Linked DNA regions of Neurospora crassa OR74A. The protein of the gene in region 1 interacts with the protein of each later gene in a biochemical or structural test. Links are inferred from orthologs where the notes say so. Each region holds a gene or a part of one and is shown in the gene's direction. Other genes may lie near its edges. The genes, in order: NCU06105, NCU00725, NCU02510 and NCU10397.

What was found.
Region 2: the proteins of NCU06105 (region 1) and NCU00725 form a complex in vitro, tested with the Saccharomyces cerevisiae proteins (2 studies listed by BioGRID). The link is inferred for Neurospora crassa OR74A from reciprocal best matches to the Saccharomyces cerevisiae genes GGA2 and ENT3.
Region 3: the proteins of NCU06105 (region 1) and NCU02510 form a complex in vitro, tested with the Saccharomyces cerevisiae proteins (2 studies listed by BioGRID). The link is inferred for Neurospora crassa OR74A from reciprocal best matches to the Saccharomyces cerevisiae genes GGA2 and CHC1.
Region 4: the proteins of NCU06105 (region 1) and NCU10397 form a complex in vitro, tested with the Saccharomyces cerevisiae proteins (2 studies listed by BioGRID). The link is inferred for Neurospora crassa OR74A from reciprocal best matches to the Saccharomyces cerevisiae genes GGA2 and PIK1.

Annotation. Positions count from the first base shown.
Region 1 is NC_026507.1:1,783,429-1,787,848, reverse strand, and holds the start of NCU06105 (ADP-ribosylation factor-binding protein GGA1), read left to right. Parts: upstream 1-1,473; 5' UTR 1,474-2,053; coding exon 2,054-2,599; intron 2,600-2,661; coding exon 2,662-3,349; intron 3,350-3,411; coding exon 3,412-3,914; intron 3,915-4,031; coding exon 4,032-4,238; 3' UTR 4,239-4,420. Other genes in the region: NCU06104 (RLI and DUF367 domain-containing protein), read right to left, coding at 1-958. UniProt on the Saccharomyces cerevisiae protein: May play a role in the regulation of membrane traffic through the trans-Golgi network.
Region 2 is NC_026501.1:7,405,355-7,409,618, forward strand, and holds NCU00725 (epsin-3), read left to right. Parts: upstream 1-1,258; 5' UTR 1,259-1,483; coding exon 1,484-1,565; intron 1,566-1,641; coding exon 1,642-1,673; intron 1,674-1,779; coding exon 1,780-1,859; intron 1,860-1,927; coding exon 1,928-3,299; 3' UTR 3,300-3,595; downstream 3,596-4,264. UniProt on the Saccharomyces cerevisiae protein: Involved in the recruitment of clathrin to the Golgi network and endosomes to form clathrin coated vesicles. Plays a role in the trafficking of clathrin between the Golgi network and endosomes.
Region 3 is NC_026501.1:2,562,483-2,567,050, reverse strand, and holds the start of NCU02510 (clathrin heavy chain), read left to right. Parts: upstream 1-1,572; 5' UTR 1,573-2,172; coding exon 2,173-2,262; intron 2,263-2,352; coding exon 2,353-4,568. Other genes in the region: NCU02511 (S-adenosylmethionine-dependent methyltransferase superfamily domain-containing protein), read right to left, coding at 61-952. UniProt on the Saccharomyces cerevisiae protein: Clathrin is the major protein of the polyhedral coat of coated pits and vesicles. In yeast, it is involved in the retention of proteins in an intracellular membrane compartment, presumably the trans-Golgi.
Region 4 is NC_026503.1:1,284,581-1,289,008, forward strand, and holds the start of NCU10397 (phosphatidylinositol 4-kinase PIK1a), read left to right. Parts: upstream 1-1,444; 5' UTR 1,445-1,875; coding exon 1,876-1,955; intron 1,956-2,110; coding exon 2,111-2,297; intron 2,298-2,368; coding exon 2,369-4,428. Other genes in the region: NCU10675 (methionine permease), read left to right, coding at 1-781. UniProt on the Saccharomyces cerevisiae protein: Acts on phosphatidylinositol (PI) in the first committed step in the production of the second messenger inositol 1,4,5,-trisphosphate. PIK1 is part of a nuclear phosphoinositide cycle and could control cytokinesis through the actin cytoskeleton.

The DNA of each region.
Region 1 (4,420 bases):
TATCGTCGGATATGGCGAAAGGGTCCTTGTCTTCTTCCTCTGACTCCTCTTCGGCTGGTTGTTTCTGTTTGGGCGGTGGTTTGGTGCCAAGGTAGATACCGTCTACGCTGCCGTCTTCGTCGTTACTGTCTGCCTCCTCATCGCTATCTTCCTCGTCGTCTTCGTCGTCGTCCTCCTCATCTGAGTCATCCATAGCTGGCCTCCGATTTGTGTTTCCGGTCGTCCAAATGTCATCCGACTCTCCCTCTCTGCTCTCAGTATACTCTTTTTCTAGCCTCTCCCTCCACGCCTCCTCCGCCTTCTTGATCTCCTCCTCATCCTTGCACGCCGAGTAGATCTTGAACAGCTTCGAGTTGATATCCAGGAATGCCCTGCCGTAAGAAAACGGAGCCAAAATCTCTTCCGCCCACTCCAAATGACCACAGATGGCAAAGGCCGCCGCCAGCGCCTCCACGCAGTTCAGCCGAAACGGCTTACCATAGTTGACCGTGTTGGCCGCCACGAGGTACGGCAACAAGCGCTCGCACTTGCCGCCCACCTTTTTCCACTCCACCTCCTTGGTGCGGGCCCACGAGCACTCCACCACCGCCGCGCCATACTGCTCCATCAGCTCCTTGTCGGCGGGCGACACGACCCGCTTGCCGTTGGGCGTGATGATGACGCCCGAGTGTCGCTGGCCCAGGTGCAGCTCGCGCATGAGACCGAGTTTCATCAGCTTCTTGCCTGAGCACCGCTTCGGGTCGCAGTGGCCTAGGTCCCAGCAGGCGGCCTTGAAGGGAGGGCGGTAGGGGCGTGAGGACGTGGACGGGTCGTGAGGGTTGGCTGTGGTGTCTTCGCCGCCGCTGCCGGCATTGTCTCGGGGGCCTTTGCTGCTGCGGGGGTTGTTGCGGGGCGCGTTCCGACCATGGCCGCCTTTGCCGCCGCGCGAGGAGAAGCCGTCCTTTTTGTGGCGGACCATAGTGGTGATGGTTTGAATTTCGTCGGGAGGATGGATGTTGTCGAGATGGAGTGCCGATGGTTTTGGCTCTGGGGTTGAAGCTTGTAATTGACGGACTTTTTTTTATGTCGCAATGGATGGATGATTTTGGCACGACCTAGCACTGCCTTGCTTTACCAGGGCAGAACTTGGATGGAAATATGCGTGCCGTCTTGGACCACAATGCGAGCTGCTTGCGCTACAAGGTTGAAGTGGCAGATGGCGAAAAAAGTTATGGATGCGATTTGAAGACCTTGACGACATCGCATTTGGGGTTCAGTTGGTGCAGGTGGGGTGGACAGGTGGGTCCGCTGAGGATGTCCATGATTGACGTCTTCCCCGGATTCATGCAACTCACCGATTGTTGCTGCGGAAGATGCTCGATTCGCAAGCGTCTGCCGCGCTTACACCATGCTGGAGGCGCTTGTCGAGGTGCTGTGGATTGAAATTGCAGTGTATTATTCATCCACAAAGATAGTATTCTTGTAACGCAGTCTCGCAACGTACCGATGTGCGGCTCCATTTTTCCTTGCGCCCCAACAACCTCAACGGCAGGCAACAGCGCAGGCCCAAGCCCAACCCGTCCGTCCAGAGCACTGAGAGGGGTCCACGACCTGACCTAGCCGTGTAAGCTCCCGTCCCCTAGCAGCAGTAGGCCTCTCCTCCTTCCATCAGCCAGCGATCCAGGTGGACACATTCCCGTTACCTCTAGGTACAGAAGTTCGGATCGAATCATAGTCCAGTCTCTGGGTGTATAACGAAGTATCAAACTGTAGTAGTACCATACCATACCTCTACTCACCATACTTGGTAATAATCCCAACGGCTTACCGGGAAGAGGGGGAGCTTCACTAGGTACCTACCTTACCTCTAGCACACAACTCCTCTAGACTACACTAGAGCTTGACCGACCAAAGGCTTGGTTGGGTCCTGGTTGCCGCCATCCATTACCTACCTATCCAGGCGACTCCCGCCAAGCTGCGCAATCTGGCCCCAATACCTCCTCGGTCTCTTCAGTCTCGTCAGTCTCCTCATCCACCACTCAACACGTCCCGACTCCCCGAGAACGCCGGCAACATGGAGGCGGCGTCTGCCCGCTATGCCACGCGCGACCGGTGGGCCGAGATGGGCCGCCCGGCCCCGTCCCAGCTTCAGCGCTTCATCACGGCCGCCTGCAGTCCCGACAACTACGAACCCAACTTGGCCCTGAACCTCGAGATCGCCGACTTGATCAACTCCAAGAAGGGTTCCGCCCCTCGAGAGGCCGCCGTGGCCATCGTCAACTACATAAACAACCGCAACCCCAACGTTTCGCTGCTGGCCCTCAACCTGCTCGACATCTGCGTCAAGAACTGCGGCTACCCCTTCCACCTCCAGATCAGCACAAAGGAGTTTCTCAATGAGCTGGTACGCCGCTTTCCCGAGCGGCCCCCGATTCGCCCCACCCGTGTCCAGCTCAAGATCCTCGAAGCCATTGAGGAGTGGCGCTGTACGATTTGCGAAACGAGCAGATATAAAGAGGACTTGGGCTTCATCAGGGACATGCACCGCTTGCTGAGCTACAAGGGGTACACCTTCCCGGAAGTCAGAAGGGAGGATGCTGCTGTGCTTAACCCGAGTGATGTAAGTGTTCCGTCCCGATTCCATGGGTCATTGTTGAAGCGTGTCTAACCTATCTGTCACAGAACCTAAAATCTGTCGAGGAAATGGAAGAGGAGGAACGCGAGGCGCAGTCCGCCAAGCTGCAGGAGCTTATCCGTCGAGGTACTCCCGAGGACCTCCAGGAGGCTAATCGACTCATGAAGGTCATGGCTGGCTATGACACGAGATCCAAGGTGGATTACCGCGCCAAGGCGGCCGAGGACGTGGGCAAAATCCAACAAAAAGCGAGACTTCTCGAGGAGCGGTTAGAAGCCTTTCAACCCGGCGACAAGATCGTGGATGGCGATGTGTTTTCCGAGCTCGCAGCCGCCCTGTCTAGCGCCCAACCAAAGATCCAGAAGATGTGCGAGGAAGAATCAGACGACCATGAAGCAGTCGCAAAACTTCTCGAAATCAACGACAGCATACACCGAACTGTGGAGAGATATAGGTTGCTGAAGAAGGGCGATATAGAGGGTGCCAAGGCATTGGCAAGTGGCGCGCCAGTTGCAAGCACAAGCAACGGCAGTGGAAGTGGTGCTGGCAAGAGTGCGGCGCAAGAGCTGTCGCTCATTGATTTTGATGCTGAGCCAAGCGGGGGGGACTCGACCAGCCAGTCCGCACCCCAGGGAGGAAACAGCCTCGACAACGACTTGCTTGGCCTGTCGCTGGGTGAAACCAGCTCTTATGGTCAAGGAGGTGGCATTGCCCTCGGGTTCGGTGCCAATACGAGTATGTCACTCGCTGCTTTCCGTGCAAGAGTCAAAGAGAATGTTGCTAACAGATCACCACAGACATTCCTGGACCGGCACTGCTCTCATCCACCACGCAGAACAGCACCGCACGGGGCCCCTCCCCTCAACCTGGCCCATCCTCTTTCAACAATTTCAACTCATTCGCATCACCAGTTGCTTCTCAATCAAGCACCCCCAAGCCTCCCGCGTATACAGCATCCGCTTTTTCCGCGCCAGCTGCGTCGTCAACAGCGTCCAACGACCCATTTGCTGCTCTAGCCTCTCTCTCCTCTTCATCTACCCCGGCGCCAGCGCCAGCACCAGCTGCTACCGGTAATGACGATGACGAGTGGTCTTTCTCCTCGGCACTGCCTCCTGAGGCGACACCCGCCCAGCCTAAGGAGCACAGAGCCGTTGTTTCTAACACTGCGCTCAAGGTCGACATGGTGGCTGTCAGATCTCTGTCCAATGGCCCATCTCCAGCCATTTCTATGCAATTTGCTTTTAGCAACAACACAGCGCAACCCATCACCGAGGTGCATTTCCAGTTGGCTGTCACCAAGGTAAGCTCACTAATCTGACCCTTGGCACTTTGACCAAAAATGTTTTGGGCTACGTTATGTGCCTTCGTCAGTTGTAGAAAGCCCTCAAGCGAGATGCTAATTGTGATGCTTGAACAGGGATACGAATTGCAACTTCAGCCTCAAACAGGACGGACTCTTACCCCCAAGCAGAGCCGGGGCATTACCCAGTCAGTCAACGTATGGTATACGGCGGACAAGACCAGGAAGGTAGAGAGCGTGAAACTCAGGTGGAGGGTATCATACAAGGTTGGAGCGGAAGCAAAGGCCGAGATGGGTGAGATTCCCGAGTTCAGTGTGGCATAAGCAGGAACTTTGGTAAGAACGAGGGCCACAAGAATGAGAACAGGGTTGCGTGCATGTTTACGTTCAAAATTCATTCATAGTAGTACAGAGCCAATTAATATGTAGTGATCCGATGACCGGCAAGAACAACAAGAATATCGCTGCGGTCGACTTTTCTGTTTACTGGGAGTTGTTCGGCTGGA
Region 2 (4,264 bases), on another chromosome or scaffold:
GTCAGCCAATCCGAGAAGTGGGGGGCGGAGAAGGTACGTAGCTGCTCGCCACGTGATTGATTGTTGCGACTCGAGCTGTCGGCCTGTCGCCACGCCGCCTGTTTCGGTCTCGTTTGCCAGTGCGGCGGGAGACGACGAAACAGCAGGTCAGCTTGACAACGTGGAGTGGTATGAGCCTCTGCAAGTGTCATCTTTGGCGCATGTGGGCTTCGGATTGGTTCGTTGGCTCAGGAACACCAGTACGAACAAGTAAACAGCTGCCATCTGGTGTTGGCGCTTCCCCCCCGAGTCTCCAAGGTCCCGTCGGCCCTGACGCTGACGGCAATGACAATCAAAACTGCCACCACCCGTGTGTGTATAGTTGGCAGCTAAAGCGCTGGCAAGAGCTATCCAAAGACATCCGGGCCAAAGGACCGTAGACCCATGGCTCCATCATATGGCTTGTTGGGTCTTCATAGCGTTGCGATTGCCTCTTTCATTTGGAGTCCCCCTCTGTCAATGCAGCCATTGACGACATTGCGGAGCCATGGACGATACCCCAAGCCGAACAAGAGGGATGGACGGCATTAACGACCTTGATGGCCATGTCTGGGGTAGGGACCAAAAGGCGGTGGTGGTATTGTCAAACTAACAAACCTCACCCCTCATCTCGAGCGTGGATGGAAAAAAGGACATTCGAATTGAATCTGATGCCAAGAAATCCCGGGAATGGAAGCTCTCAGAGCTCTGCCACAGATAGAGCTTGGAGCTTTGGGCAAGCTCCCAGCCGGCAGGGAGAGCTCCTCTAGACAGAAAAGGCTCAAGAAGAACATGGCAACAAAAGTAAAAATGATAACGTACCGGTTGTGGAAGATGAAATCCTGGATGATTGTAGGATGATAATGAAGCTAAAAGTACAAGGTAAAGTCCGAACAAACGAACGATGGAAATCTGCTACACGGCGATGGATGCACAACAAAGACCTGAGACGAGAGGGAGAACGGAGTCGGGTCGGGTGTTTAACAATTTTTACTCCATCCAAAATGCATGGAAGCGAGCTCCGGCGGCCGAGCGTCCCCTCCCGCCGCCCCGCGTTGTCGGCCGGCCCGGCAATTACAAGCAGAATTCTTGCCTGAAAACTCAGGCTTCAAAGAGCTGAGACGCTCGTGCCAAGCTTTCAAAGTCTTGGCAGACCTCCTGGGTTCCACTGGCTTCTTGGTGTCAGGGTGTTGGGTCAAGCGCAGGGGTCGGCCTTGGACGGCGTCAGTTGAGGTCAGCGCTCAGCGGCACCCTGACGCTAGGCCACCTCAATGTCCATCTGATCCCGACAAGACCGTGAAACGTCGCCCTGAAAGCGATCAGCCCGAACAAAAACCACCAAGTCGCCACAGCATCCCGCCCGTCTGGCAATCATCACCGCGAGGCTCAGATTGGATCTAGAGAAGAATTACCTTAGCCCATCAGAACAATTCCCAGCAACTCCGGCGATAGACACGTTTACGCAATGGATTTCAATAGCCTCAAGGATACCGTGTCCAACCTGACACTCTACGACATCAAGGCTGGCGTACGAAAGGTTCAAAATGGTAGGTGACCACCTAGTCCAGAACCAAGACTCCCTCATGATTTCGTGTTCAGGGTGCTGACAATGGCTCCAACCAGCTGTCATGAACTATACCGAGATGGAGTCCAAGGTATGCCCGTATCCACGCGCCACACTGGCACCATTCTCTTGCGCCCTTCGCCATATACTTGATCCCAGACAAGAGACCATGGAACGGGAGCTGACAGCGAACCCAGGTGCGCGAGGCCACCAACAATGAACCTTGGGGTGCATCGTCGACTTTGATGCAAGAGATCGCCGATGGCACCTTCAACTAGTACGTTCTCGAGAACTGCTCGCTTGTATACGAACGCGGCTAACTTGCGTTTCCCTCCTTGTTCTTAGCCAAACACTCAACGAAATCATGCCCATGATTTACCGCCGTTTCACAGAAAAGTCCGCCGAAGAATGGCGCCAGATCTACAAGGCCCTTCAACTACTAGAGTACCTGATTAAGCACGGTTCCGAACGAGTGGTGGACGATGCTCGGTCGCATCTTACCCTCCTCAAGATGCTGCGCCAGTTCCATTTTATCGACCAGAACGGCAAAGACCAGGGTATCAACGTCCGCAACCGCGCCAAGGAACTCGCCGAGCTCCTCAGCGATGTCGAGCGTATCCGAGCAGAGCGCAAGAAGGCCCGCGCAAACAAGGGCAAGTTCACGGGCATTTCGGGTGGAATGAGCTTCTCCAGCGGGAGCAGCGGACGTTATGGCGGTTTCGGCAACACTTCGTATGGCGGTAGCAGCAGTGGTGGCGGTGGTAGCAGCTCTACCTACGGTGGCTATTCTGGAGGAGTTTATGGCGACGGAGGTGTTTTTGGTGGCCAGCCTTCCAACAACGACTACCGCGGGACCCAGGCACGGGCAGAGCAGTTTGAGGAATACGATGCAGGTGATTTGGACGCTGAGGCGTCGTCTCGTACCGCGCCAAGGACACCACGATCCACGACAGAAAGAGCCGGGGTCAAGAAAACAACAGCACCCGCCGAGCCGCCCAAGAAAAAGGAGCCCGAGATCGACTTGTTTTCCTTCGACGAGCCCGCAGCGCCATCCATCCCGACCGCGCCCCTCGCTGCCGCACCTTCCAACGGCTCTGGGCTTGCGGCTCTAGCCGGCGGCGCCAAAGACGACGACGACGAGTTCGATGATTTCCAGTCTGCAGCCCCCGCCACGCAGCCTGCTTCTGCAATTTCTCCCCCAATCGCCCCCCTCTCTACTGGCACACAGTTTGTTGCCCCGCAACCAGTTTCGGCGCCTCAGCAGGCCAACCTTAGCGGCATGGTTGCCCTCTCCTCCATCTCTCCTCCTCCCAGCTCCACGGCGACTCCTGCTGCCAACTTCTCGGCTTTCTCCACGCCCCTTTCGCCCGTCTCCCAGGCTCCCAAGCCAACTGGCTTCCAAGCCGGTCAGCCAAACTACTTTTCCCCGGTACAGCTGCAGACCCAGTCCACCGGGTCCTCGCTTTCAGGAACCAAGGCAACCGGTTCAGCTGCCTCCAAGCCAGCCGCTGGCGGTGACGCCTTCGGTGCGCTGTGGTCGCAGGCTAGTGCTGGAATCAAGAAGAGCACGCCTACCACCAAGGGTCCGGCTATCGGACAACTGGCCAAAGAGAAGAGTAGTGCTGGTATTTGGGGAACTCCTGCGCCCTCCACTCCGACCAGCGGTAGCAGGCCCACCACTGGCGGCAACCACGGGTTGGACGATCTGCTCGGTTAATTACCTGACTGGGTGTGAGGAGTTTTCCAAGGAGTATTTAGAACCGCTGTCGTCTACTTACGGAAGCGGGATCCTTGGAGTAGATCAAGGGTGTGCAGTTACACAAAGAGGAGATGAGCAGTTAAACGATTTATATTCCACGTAATGTTATTGGAGGTAGGGGTGGGTATCTTGCAGCGCCTCTCGTCTGCAACAAAATTTCACGTCTATTTATGCTGCATTCGGCTTCTTTGTGTTTGTCACGTTTTGTTTCCGCGTGCGAGTCCCTCAAAGAGTGAACTGATCCGTAACTTAAGTCCCCGTATACACTCATCCTCACCTTCACAATTCCAGAAGACCCAAGCCGGCTGTTGAGTCGCTCATGGTCAAGTAACCCGATGTTGCGGTCGATCTGTTGTTTTATCTTGTGGAATTCGCATAGCTTCCATCCCTGATGTTCGTTTGATGGAACTTTTACCACTGAAGCTCCTTGCCTTCTTTATTGGCTTCACTTCTGGCCCGTTATGAACTGGTGAACCCCCTCAACCCCCCCCCCCCCCCCCCCCCCCCCCCCCCTTTTCCGTCTGTCTTTATTTTTCTGGCATATCAGCCTCCTCGAATGGTTTGAACAACCGTAAGGCTGGAGCATCATCCCAACATGCAGTCCATCAACATGAGCTAGAATACTTCATCCAATAGTGAGTTCATGGATCGCAAAGTATGTGTCCAGTGACTCAAGCCTCCGCACTCGCCCTCGGCTCGGTATGACGGCGCAAGGCCAGCCTCGAACACCCTCGACCCACCGATCACAACCTCAACAGTCGATCAGTCATTACCACCAAAATGATTAATGACTACGAGCACCAAAGCGCACACTCATGGCCAATGCGTCGAAACGTCTGTTGCCGTGAGCAACACGGAAAAATCACAGATCAGTGGCTTTGATCTTGGAACCGTGCTCAACATCTATTTAATTCTCTCTACCA
Region 3 (4,568 bases), on another chromosome or scaffold:
CTGAAGTTAACATTTGTGCATTTCACGAGAAGTATTGCGCAAGGAACATCGGGTCCTTACAGGCACAGATATCCTTGATGAGTTGGCTGGTGTACTCGGCGCGACTCTTGCCCTCTTCCGCCGAATTCGAAAAGTCGTCCAGGATACGGATGGCGTCTGTTATCCTCGTTCTCAACATCTGGAGATCGGGTGCCAGCAAAGTTTTGGTCTTAGTCTGAAGTTGGTCGTCGTCATCACCGAGGTCATCACCACCAGCGATGTTGGTCTGGAGCGCCTCGTCGCGCAATTCGGCCTCGTTCTCCTCTGCTTCCTTCTCTCTTTGCATATCCAATTTCCTCGAAAGACCCTCGATGTTGGCGGCTGTGAGCTTCTCCTCTCTATCCTCTTCGTCATCCTCATCGTCAGAGAAGACGAATGCCTCCTTCTTGGTAGCACCGTCCTGGTCGGAATCGTAAACCGAGTCGTCGTCAGTGCCGAGGAAATCGTCTCCTAGCTTTTGAACGTCCATCTCATCGCCGTCGATATCAAGGCCCTCCAGGTCGGACGCGCCAAACTCGTCGTCCATCTCCTCGTCATGATCGGGCGAAGGCTGCTTTGCCTTCTTAGGCTTCTTGGACTCCTTGGACCTGTGGGCGGGCTTTGTGCCAGTCTTCTTCACCTCCTTGACCTCTTTCTTGGCGCCCTTGACTGCGACAGTGTTGGAGCCGGATGTCTTGGGCTGCTTCTTGACAATCTTCTGCTTCTTGGATCTTCTAGTGTCGACTTCGGTCGTGGTTTCGTCAAAGGGAATGCCCTTCTTGCGCTTGAGGTTGGCGAAGTGCTCCTCCGAGAGGGGCTCAGGAGGGCCCTGTTTCTGCATGCGACGTCCGACACCCATTTTGATGGTATTGCTGGTCGTCTGGTGGTGATTGGGATGTTGTTGGGGTTGGTTTGAACACTGATAGCCCACCATCGACAGGCGCTTGTGGATATTTCTCCGGGTCGATTTTCTTTTCTGAAAAAGCTTATCGATAGCAATGCCAAGTCTCTTTCCTCAAATCGGGTTCCACCTCACTGCGGTCCCAAAAGGTGAGCCATTGGTCAGTGCCCCACATTAGTCAAGCTGGGCCAAGTTCGGAATCCCTGTAGCAACAGCTGACGCTACCCCTGGAGCTGGGCTGTTCTGGAGTAGGGAACAGCTGCCCCTGGAGCCCGGCATGAACGGCGCCCCCGGAGGCAGGCGGCCTGGAGGTATAAGGTACCTAGAGGTAGGAAATGGAAGGACCGTCTGACGGACCTCGCAGGAGAGGCGATCAATGCGGGCAAAGGAAAGTAGAAGGATGACGGGATGAGGGCGGGCAACCTGGACCGGGCGGACAGCTTGAAGCGAAGGGGGCAGGCAGGCCTCCCGGGCAGGCGCCTGCCGCCTGGTCTAGGCGCACCCGACGCAGGGGGAAGCACTGAATGGAGCCGGCGCCGGTGGGCGGTGGACGCCCCGGCCGCGAGGTCCCGTGTTAACACATCACTCAAAAGCAGGCAGGTAACCTGAGAGGTACTAGAGGTACCTTCCGTCTGCGCTGAACAGTTGCGGCATGTACAAACACACTGGACAGCTGGAGAGGCATCTCACCTCAGCACCTTCCATCTTTCCTGCTGTATCTTTCATCTCTCACGGTACTAACTTCCCGTAACAAACGACGTCTCCTCTTGCTGCTTTGCATCCTTCAACAACCGCGATTCTTCTCTATTCTTTCTGCTGGAGCATTGAAGTGAGGTGACATCGAGGTACCTGCTCGCCTTTACTTTACGTATCTGTAACTGAGCGGCAAATCGCGACTCACCTCTCACCCACAGTTTGGCGGCGGGTTTTACTGCGTACCTGCCTTCTGGACCTTGCGTTAATCCTTCCACCTCCAACCTCCTACCTACCTCTACCTACCTGATTCATCCGTCCTCTTTCCCCCTCCCCATTTCTCGGGAGCTCGGTCATTTTCCCCCCAAAGTACAACCAACCACCACCACCACCGCCTCCTTTCACGTCGCCGCCATTCCATTCAGTCCACGGAGCTTCACGAGCCTCCATTTCCCCAATCTTTCTACTTCCCAGCGGATTCACCTTCCAGCCGCTTTTGATAAGTTGGCTGCTAATCTTCGTCACTCTGCGCGCAGCTTAGCGCAACACCACCGCCCATCATGGCTCAGGCCCTACCCATCAAATTCCAGGAGCTGCTGCAACTCAGCGCCCTCGGCATCAACCAGACTGCCATCACTTTCAATACCTGTGTACGTTGTCCTCACCTTGCTCTGACTCTGCTAGTGACAGTTGTCGCGCCTCCTCTGGCACCCCTGCTGACGTGAACCCCCCGCTCCCAGACTCTAGAATCGGACAACTGGGTGTGTATTCGCGACAAGAAGGACGAGGCAGCGTCCCCTGAAGTCATCATCGTCGATCTCAAGAACGGCAATAATGTTATCCGACGTCCCATCAAGGCCGACAGTGCCATAATGCACTGGACGCGCCAAGTAATTGCCCTCAAGGCCCAGGCGCGCACACTCCAGATTTTCGACCTCGAAAACAAGGCCAAGCTCAAGTCGACAAACATGAGCGAGGATGTCTTGTTCTGGAAGTGGGTTAGCGAGACCACGCTTGGCTTGATCACAGATGGCTCTGTTTACCATTGGGATGTCTTCGACCCGAACCAGCCCGCTCCGGTCAAGGTCTTCGATCGTAATGCTAATCTCCAGGGCAACCAAATAATTAATTATCGGACCAGCGCCGACGGAAAGTGGATGGTTGTTGTCGGTATCTCACAACAGCAGGGCCGCGTTGTTGGCGCCATGCAGCTCTATTCCAAAGACCGCGGTATCAGCCAGGCTATTGAGGGTCATGCCGCTGCTTTTGGCACCCTCCGACTAGAGGGCGCCCCGGAGGACACCAAGGTGTTTACCTTTGCGGTCCGCACCGCCGTCGGCGCGAAGCTCCACATTGTCGAGGTCGACCATCCCGAAACAAACCCCGTCTTCCCCAAGAAGGCCGTGGACGTCTTCTTCCCTCCCGAGGCCAGCAATGACTTCCCCGTCGCCCTCCAGGTTTCGCAAAAGTACGGCATCATCTACCTTATCACCAAGTACGGTTTCATCCACCTCTACGACCTCGAGACTGCCACATGTATCTTCATGAACCGCATCTCAAGCGATACTATCTTCACTGCTTGCGGTGACAAGGATTCGACCGGCGTCATTGGCATCAACCGCAAGGGACAGGTTCTCTTCGTCAGCGCCGATGAGAACACAATCGTTCCTTACGTCCTTGAGGCACACGGCAATGAGCTCGCTATCAAGTTGGCTTCTCGTGCAGGGCTCCCAGGCGCCGATAACCTCTACCAGCAACGCTTCGAGCAACTCTTCAGCAATGGCAACTACCAAGAGGCCGCCAAGGTGGCTGCCAACTCTCCTCGAGGTTTCCTTCGCACTCCTCAGACCATCGAGCGCTTCAAGCGTCTTCCACAGCAGCCTGGACAGATGTCGCATATCTTGCAGTACTTTGGTATGCTTCTAGACAAGGGTTCGCTGAACGAGCATGAGACCATTGAGCTTGCCCAACCCGTTCTCGCTCAGAACCGCAAACAGCTATTGCAGAAGTGGCTCAGCGAGAACAAGCTCGAGTGCTCTGAGAGACTTGGTGACATGGTCCGGCCCCACGACATTAACATGGCGCTTGCCATCTATTTGAAGGCCAACGCTCCTCACAAGGTTGTTGCTGGGTTTGCCGAGACTGGCCAGTTTGAGAAGATTCTGCCCTACTGCGGTCAAGCCAACTACCAGCCTGACTTTATTCAGCTTCTCCACCACATTGTCCGTGTCAATGCTGAGAAGGGTGCCGAGTTTGCCACGACGCTTGCCAATCACGAAGGCGGCCCGCTGGTCGACTTCGAGAAGGTGGTTGACATCTTCCAGTCTCAAGGAATGATCCAGCAAGCAACTGCTTTCCTTCTTGACGCTCTGAAGGATAACAAGCCCGAGCATGCCCACCTTCAGACTCGTCTATTGGAGATGAACCTCGTCAACGCCCCCCAGGTTGCTGACGCCATTCTTGGCAACGACATGTTCTCCCACTTTGACAAGGCGCACATTGCGAACCTCTGCGAGCAAGCAGGTCTTTTGCAGAAGGCCCTGGAGCTCTATGAGGATCCTGCGTCCATCAAGCGGGTTATTGTCAACATCCCTGGAATGCCTAACTACAACCCCGAGTGGTTGATTGAGTATTTCAAGGCGCTGTCTGTTGAGCAATCGCTTGACTGCCTGGACGCCATGATGAAGCACAATATTCGCCAGAATCTCCAGACTGTCGTTCAAGTCGCAACCAAGTATGCGGAGCTCCTCGGCGCGCAGCAATTGATTGATCTCTTTGAGAAGTACAAGACTGCTGAAGGTCTTTACTACTTCCTTGCCAGTGTCGTCAATGTCACCGAGGACCCCGAAGTCGTATTCAAGTACATTGAGGCTGCCACCAAGATGGGACAAATTCGCGAGGTTGAGCGTATCTGCCGCGACAACAGCGTTTACAACCCCGAGAAGGTGAAGAACTT
Region 4 (4,428 bases), on another chromosome or scaffold:
CGAACTCTCCAAATCCGGCGTCGTCCCCACCGCCATCTTCTTCACCCGCGTCTGGGGTCCCTCGGCCTTCACCGAGCGCGTCATGCCTCTCTTCCTCGCCCTCTCCGCGCTCGGCAACGTCTTTGCGCAATCCTTCGCCATGCCCCGTGTGAAGCAGGAGCTCGCAAAGGAAGGCACTCTCCCCTTCTCGCGCTTCTGGGCGAGCGACTGGCCCGAGCAAAAGTCGCCGACGGGCGCCATTTTGCTGCATTGGATCTTCACCGTGGCCTTGATCCTCGGATCCAGCACCAAGGACGTGTACCAGTTTCTGTCCAACATTTTTACCTACTCGGGCAACTGGATCAAGGTCTTCCTGGGGGTGGGGCTGCTGTATCTCAACTTTACGCCGAGCGAGAACTGGACGACGCCGGAGAACAAGCGGTTCCATAGTTATCCCGTCCTGACGGTGTTTTGGGTTGTCGGGCTGCTGTATACCTGTGCGGCGCCGTTTATCCCGAACACGCTGCTGACCAAGGTTCACTTTTCGGTGGTGCCGGCGCTGGGGACGGGCATGCTGGTTATCGGCGTCATGTATTGGGTGGTTTGGGCCAAGGTGTTGCCGGCGTTTGGGTTCTCTATACAGCACGAGGTGGTGGTGTTGCCGGATGGGAGTGAGAGGGTCAAGTATAAGAGGGTGAGGCCGAGGGGAGGTAGGAGTGGTGCGAGAGGGAGGAGGAATGGGGGGAGGGGAGGGGGGAGAGGAGGAGGAGGAGGAGGAGGGACGACTGTTGTGTGGAGGTGATAGGACGTGTGCACTTGTCGATGTAGAGAAGATACAACGTAGAATAGTAGATCAATGATTCGCGTCTTCGTTTCAGGAACAAGATAAAAGGGGATTTGTTTACTTTGGATGGAGTCTGTGTCCTTTTACCCCTTTTTTTTCATCTTTTTTTCCCTTGGAGCAGAGCCCCTTTTTCGGATGGCGCAAGCGCCCTGGGATCGATCTACTTTGGCCGGTGGAACTAGCACTAAGTGTCTGATCAACATGCCGGTGGGTTAGATCTTCGTGTTCACTTCCATGAATCCCCAATACGAGATGGACCATTGATATGATTTGGGGTGTCATGTTGATGGGAATCCCAACCGCCAAGACGAAACAAGAGCGGATGGGAACACTGTTTCAGCGGTCGTTGGCAGACGCCAAGTGCCTGTAGCAGGGCAAAGGAAAGGCGCTGTGGACGGACACACTGCAGCCGAGGCGGACAAGTCGGCCAGGTGGGGAACGGGACGCGGGGCTCCATCGGGCTTAGCGGATAGGTCCCGTTCAATGTGCCGTGCGAGCGGGTGTTGTTGTATCGAACAATTATTCCTTTCAGTGGACTGCGGCCCCCCCCCCCCCCCCCTGACAGCAGTGACGGCCAACCTCCACCTTCGGAACACCACTTGACACCACCCGGGCACCCTGGCGAGCGAGAGGAAGTGGTTTTGGTGTCCTTCTTGGGAATACTACCTCTACCACCACCACCACCACCACCACATTTCAGTCTCACTTGTCAACACCATAACGAGTAACGACCTAAGCGCGCCCGGCCCCGTCAGCCATGCTCCAGCAGCCCTACGCCGTCGACTCCGTTCATGTTCAAGTCCGATGAAGGCATTGCTTGCGCATGCATGCCTTGCTGCCCTCTGTATCCGTCCATTCTCCAGCCAGCCAGCCAGCCAGCTCCAGTTCCAAGTTAGCTTCCGTCTAGACTGAGTGTACCTACCTAGCTGCTCGATTCTCCCACCTACGCCTACGCCTCGCTTCACCACTTCAGCCTCGCCAGCCCGACATTGACTCTTTCCTCCCATAATCCCCGAGTCGATCTGCGGTCGACCCTCGTTGCGCCATAACCAATGTCTTGGGACTTGTTAAAGCGGTTCCTCGAGAGCGACGTCTTCAACCAAAACCCCTTTCTCTCCGTCTCCTACCTCTCGTCAGTCAGCCATTCCGTTTTGCCAAGATTCGCTACCCCTCCTCCTCCTCCTCCTCCCCCTCCTCCTCCTCCTCCTCTTTCTCTCCTCCTCACTCGGCGCGGCGCGTATCAGTACTGGCCTGGCAAGACACACACTAACATGACCGCACCGCCAGACGATATGCCGACCACATAGGAATTCACTATGTGCTGTGCAGCAAGCTGCGCCAGTTCCCCTACGAGGACATCGAGTTCTTCCTCCCTCAGCTCTGTCACCTTATCATCAGCATCGACAATGAGTCCATGGCCCTGGAGGAGTTTCTCCTCGACCTGTGCGAGGAGTCGGTCACAGCAGCCTTGTTGGTGCGCAGCCCTCTATACACCATCTGACGCTTTGCACGACTCCGAATTGCTGATATCTCGCCCGCTCGCAGACATTCTGGCTCTTCCAAACATACCTACACGACCTATCCGCTAATCCACAGGCCAATGCCTTCAAAATATGCCAGAGAGTGTACAACAAGGTGCAGCATATCGTCTTTGGCGTCTCCGACAGTGCAAGGAACGAGAAGATTACGGAAAACGCTTTGCCAGTGACTGTCCTAGGGAGCTTCGTTCTCGCCAGTATCGCCGCCCCGTTTCTCCCCCATTGGGCTGGCCCGCTTGCCGTCGCGCAAGCCAGAAAGCCCCGCCCTCAAGTCATCGAACCTGTGTTGGACGCTACTCCCGTCAACGCCGCCCCACCTGCTCGCGCGCATACCGTCACTGCTGGTACAACAAAATCGAGACGGGCAAAGGAGGCCCGCCTTACAAGCTCATCGGACCATCAGCTCCAGAGCAACAACAGCAGCCCGGTGGCGCATCGCCCCAAGCCCAAGATCAAGGAACCTCAGCCTGACTCCCGGCCGACGTCTTCGGGGTCTTCTATCAAAACGCCGGTAGAGACCAAGCGACCTACTCCTTTCGATTCCAACGTCTTGGAGGCGCGCCTTAGTTCATCTTCACTGCCTCTACCAACGTCGAATGCCAATTCTCCAGGTCTTGTACACAGGCCGACCACTCCGGCCCTGCGGCCAACGACTGGAGTGAACAGGAGGCACTCGCACCATGTCAAGACGCTCTTGAACCAAGCGGACATGAGCCGCACACAAAAGATGCGGCTACTAAAACAAAACTACTTCCACTGCCAAACAGCATTCCTGACCGCACTAGAGGATATTTCAAACCGACTAGTAATAGTACCAAAGGCTGCACGCCTAAGTGCCCTACGCGCTGAGCTGGCTCTAATCGCTCAAGAACTCCCGGCCGAGGTCGATATCCCAGTCATCTGCCCTCCTACTTTGGTCAACGGCTCTCCTTCGCAGAGCCGACATCACAGGATAGTCCGTCTCAACCCGGCTGAGGCCACGGTACTGAACAGTGCTGAGAAAGTGCCTTTCCTGCTTATGGTTGAGATTTTGAGAGAAGATCTCACATTTGACCCGGATTCTCAAGATAATCAGAGACTTCTGACACAGCTTTTGGTCGAACAAGGAACCAGGAGGCGGATTTTTGACCTTTCCGAGTCTTCTAGGATACCAGCCACACCCCGTTCACAGGAGCCCGTCATCGATAGTGTTTTTGAGCCTTCCTCGGGGGATCTAGGGCACTCGCCACTAATAAAACCGTTCAACGACGAGCCCTTTGCCATACAGCATAACCCCGTTCCTGGCGGTCTCCGCCATGCTGCCACTACTGGGACCAGCTCGACACAATTTGTTGATCTGACGTCAACGCCTCGCAGTTCTGGCACTTCGGGATCCTCTACCCCACCTTTCAGGAGGATGACCCTCCAAAGTCCGCGCAACAACGCGGCCGCCGACCAACCTGATTTCTCTGCCCTTGCCATCCATATGCGGACAGCCTCGCAAATGTTGGCGCAGTTGGATGCAACAAGTGGCAAGCGGCCGCGTCATGAAGTGGCCGCAATCAGGGCAAAGATTATTGCCAGCATGCAGAGTCTGGAGGAGGAGAGTTTTGAAGTCCATGATAGCCAAGGGCCGACCTTCGACATGATTATGGCCAAGGCCAGTGCAGAAAACGTTATCAACGGCAATGTCGCCACGGACGAAGAAATCGAGGCTCCCCTGGAGAAGGTCGAGTCTAACGTGAATCCAAACGCCGGTCTAGCAAGGATGGAAAACGATATCAAGACAGGCGGTCTCCAGCGCAAGGGCGATCGTGATGATCCCAGCGCTGCCGTCTTCGGAGAAGCTTGGGAGATGAAGAAGGAGCGTATCCGCAAGTCCTCTCCTTACGGCTGGATGAAGAACTGGGATCTCGTCAGCGTCATTGTCAAAACGGGTGCGGATCTCCGTCAGGAGGCATTCGCCTGCCAGCTGATCCGCGTGTGCCACAAGATCTGGGTAGAGCACAACGTGCCCGTCTGGGTGAAGCTCATGCGCATTCTTGTTACGGGCGAGTCGTGCGGTCTGATAGAGACCATTGCCAACGG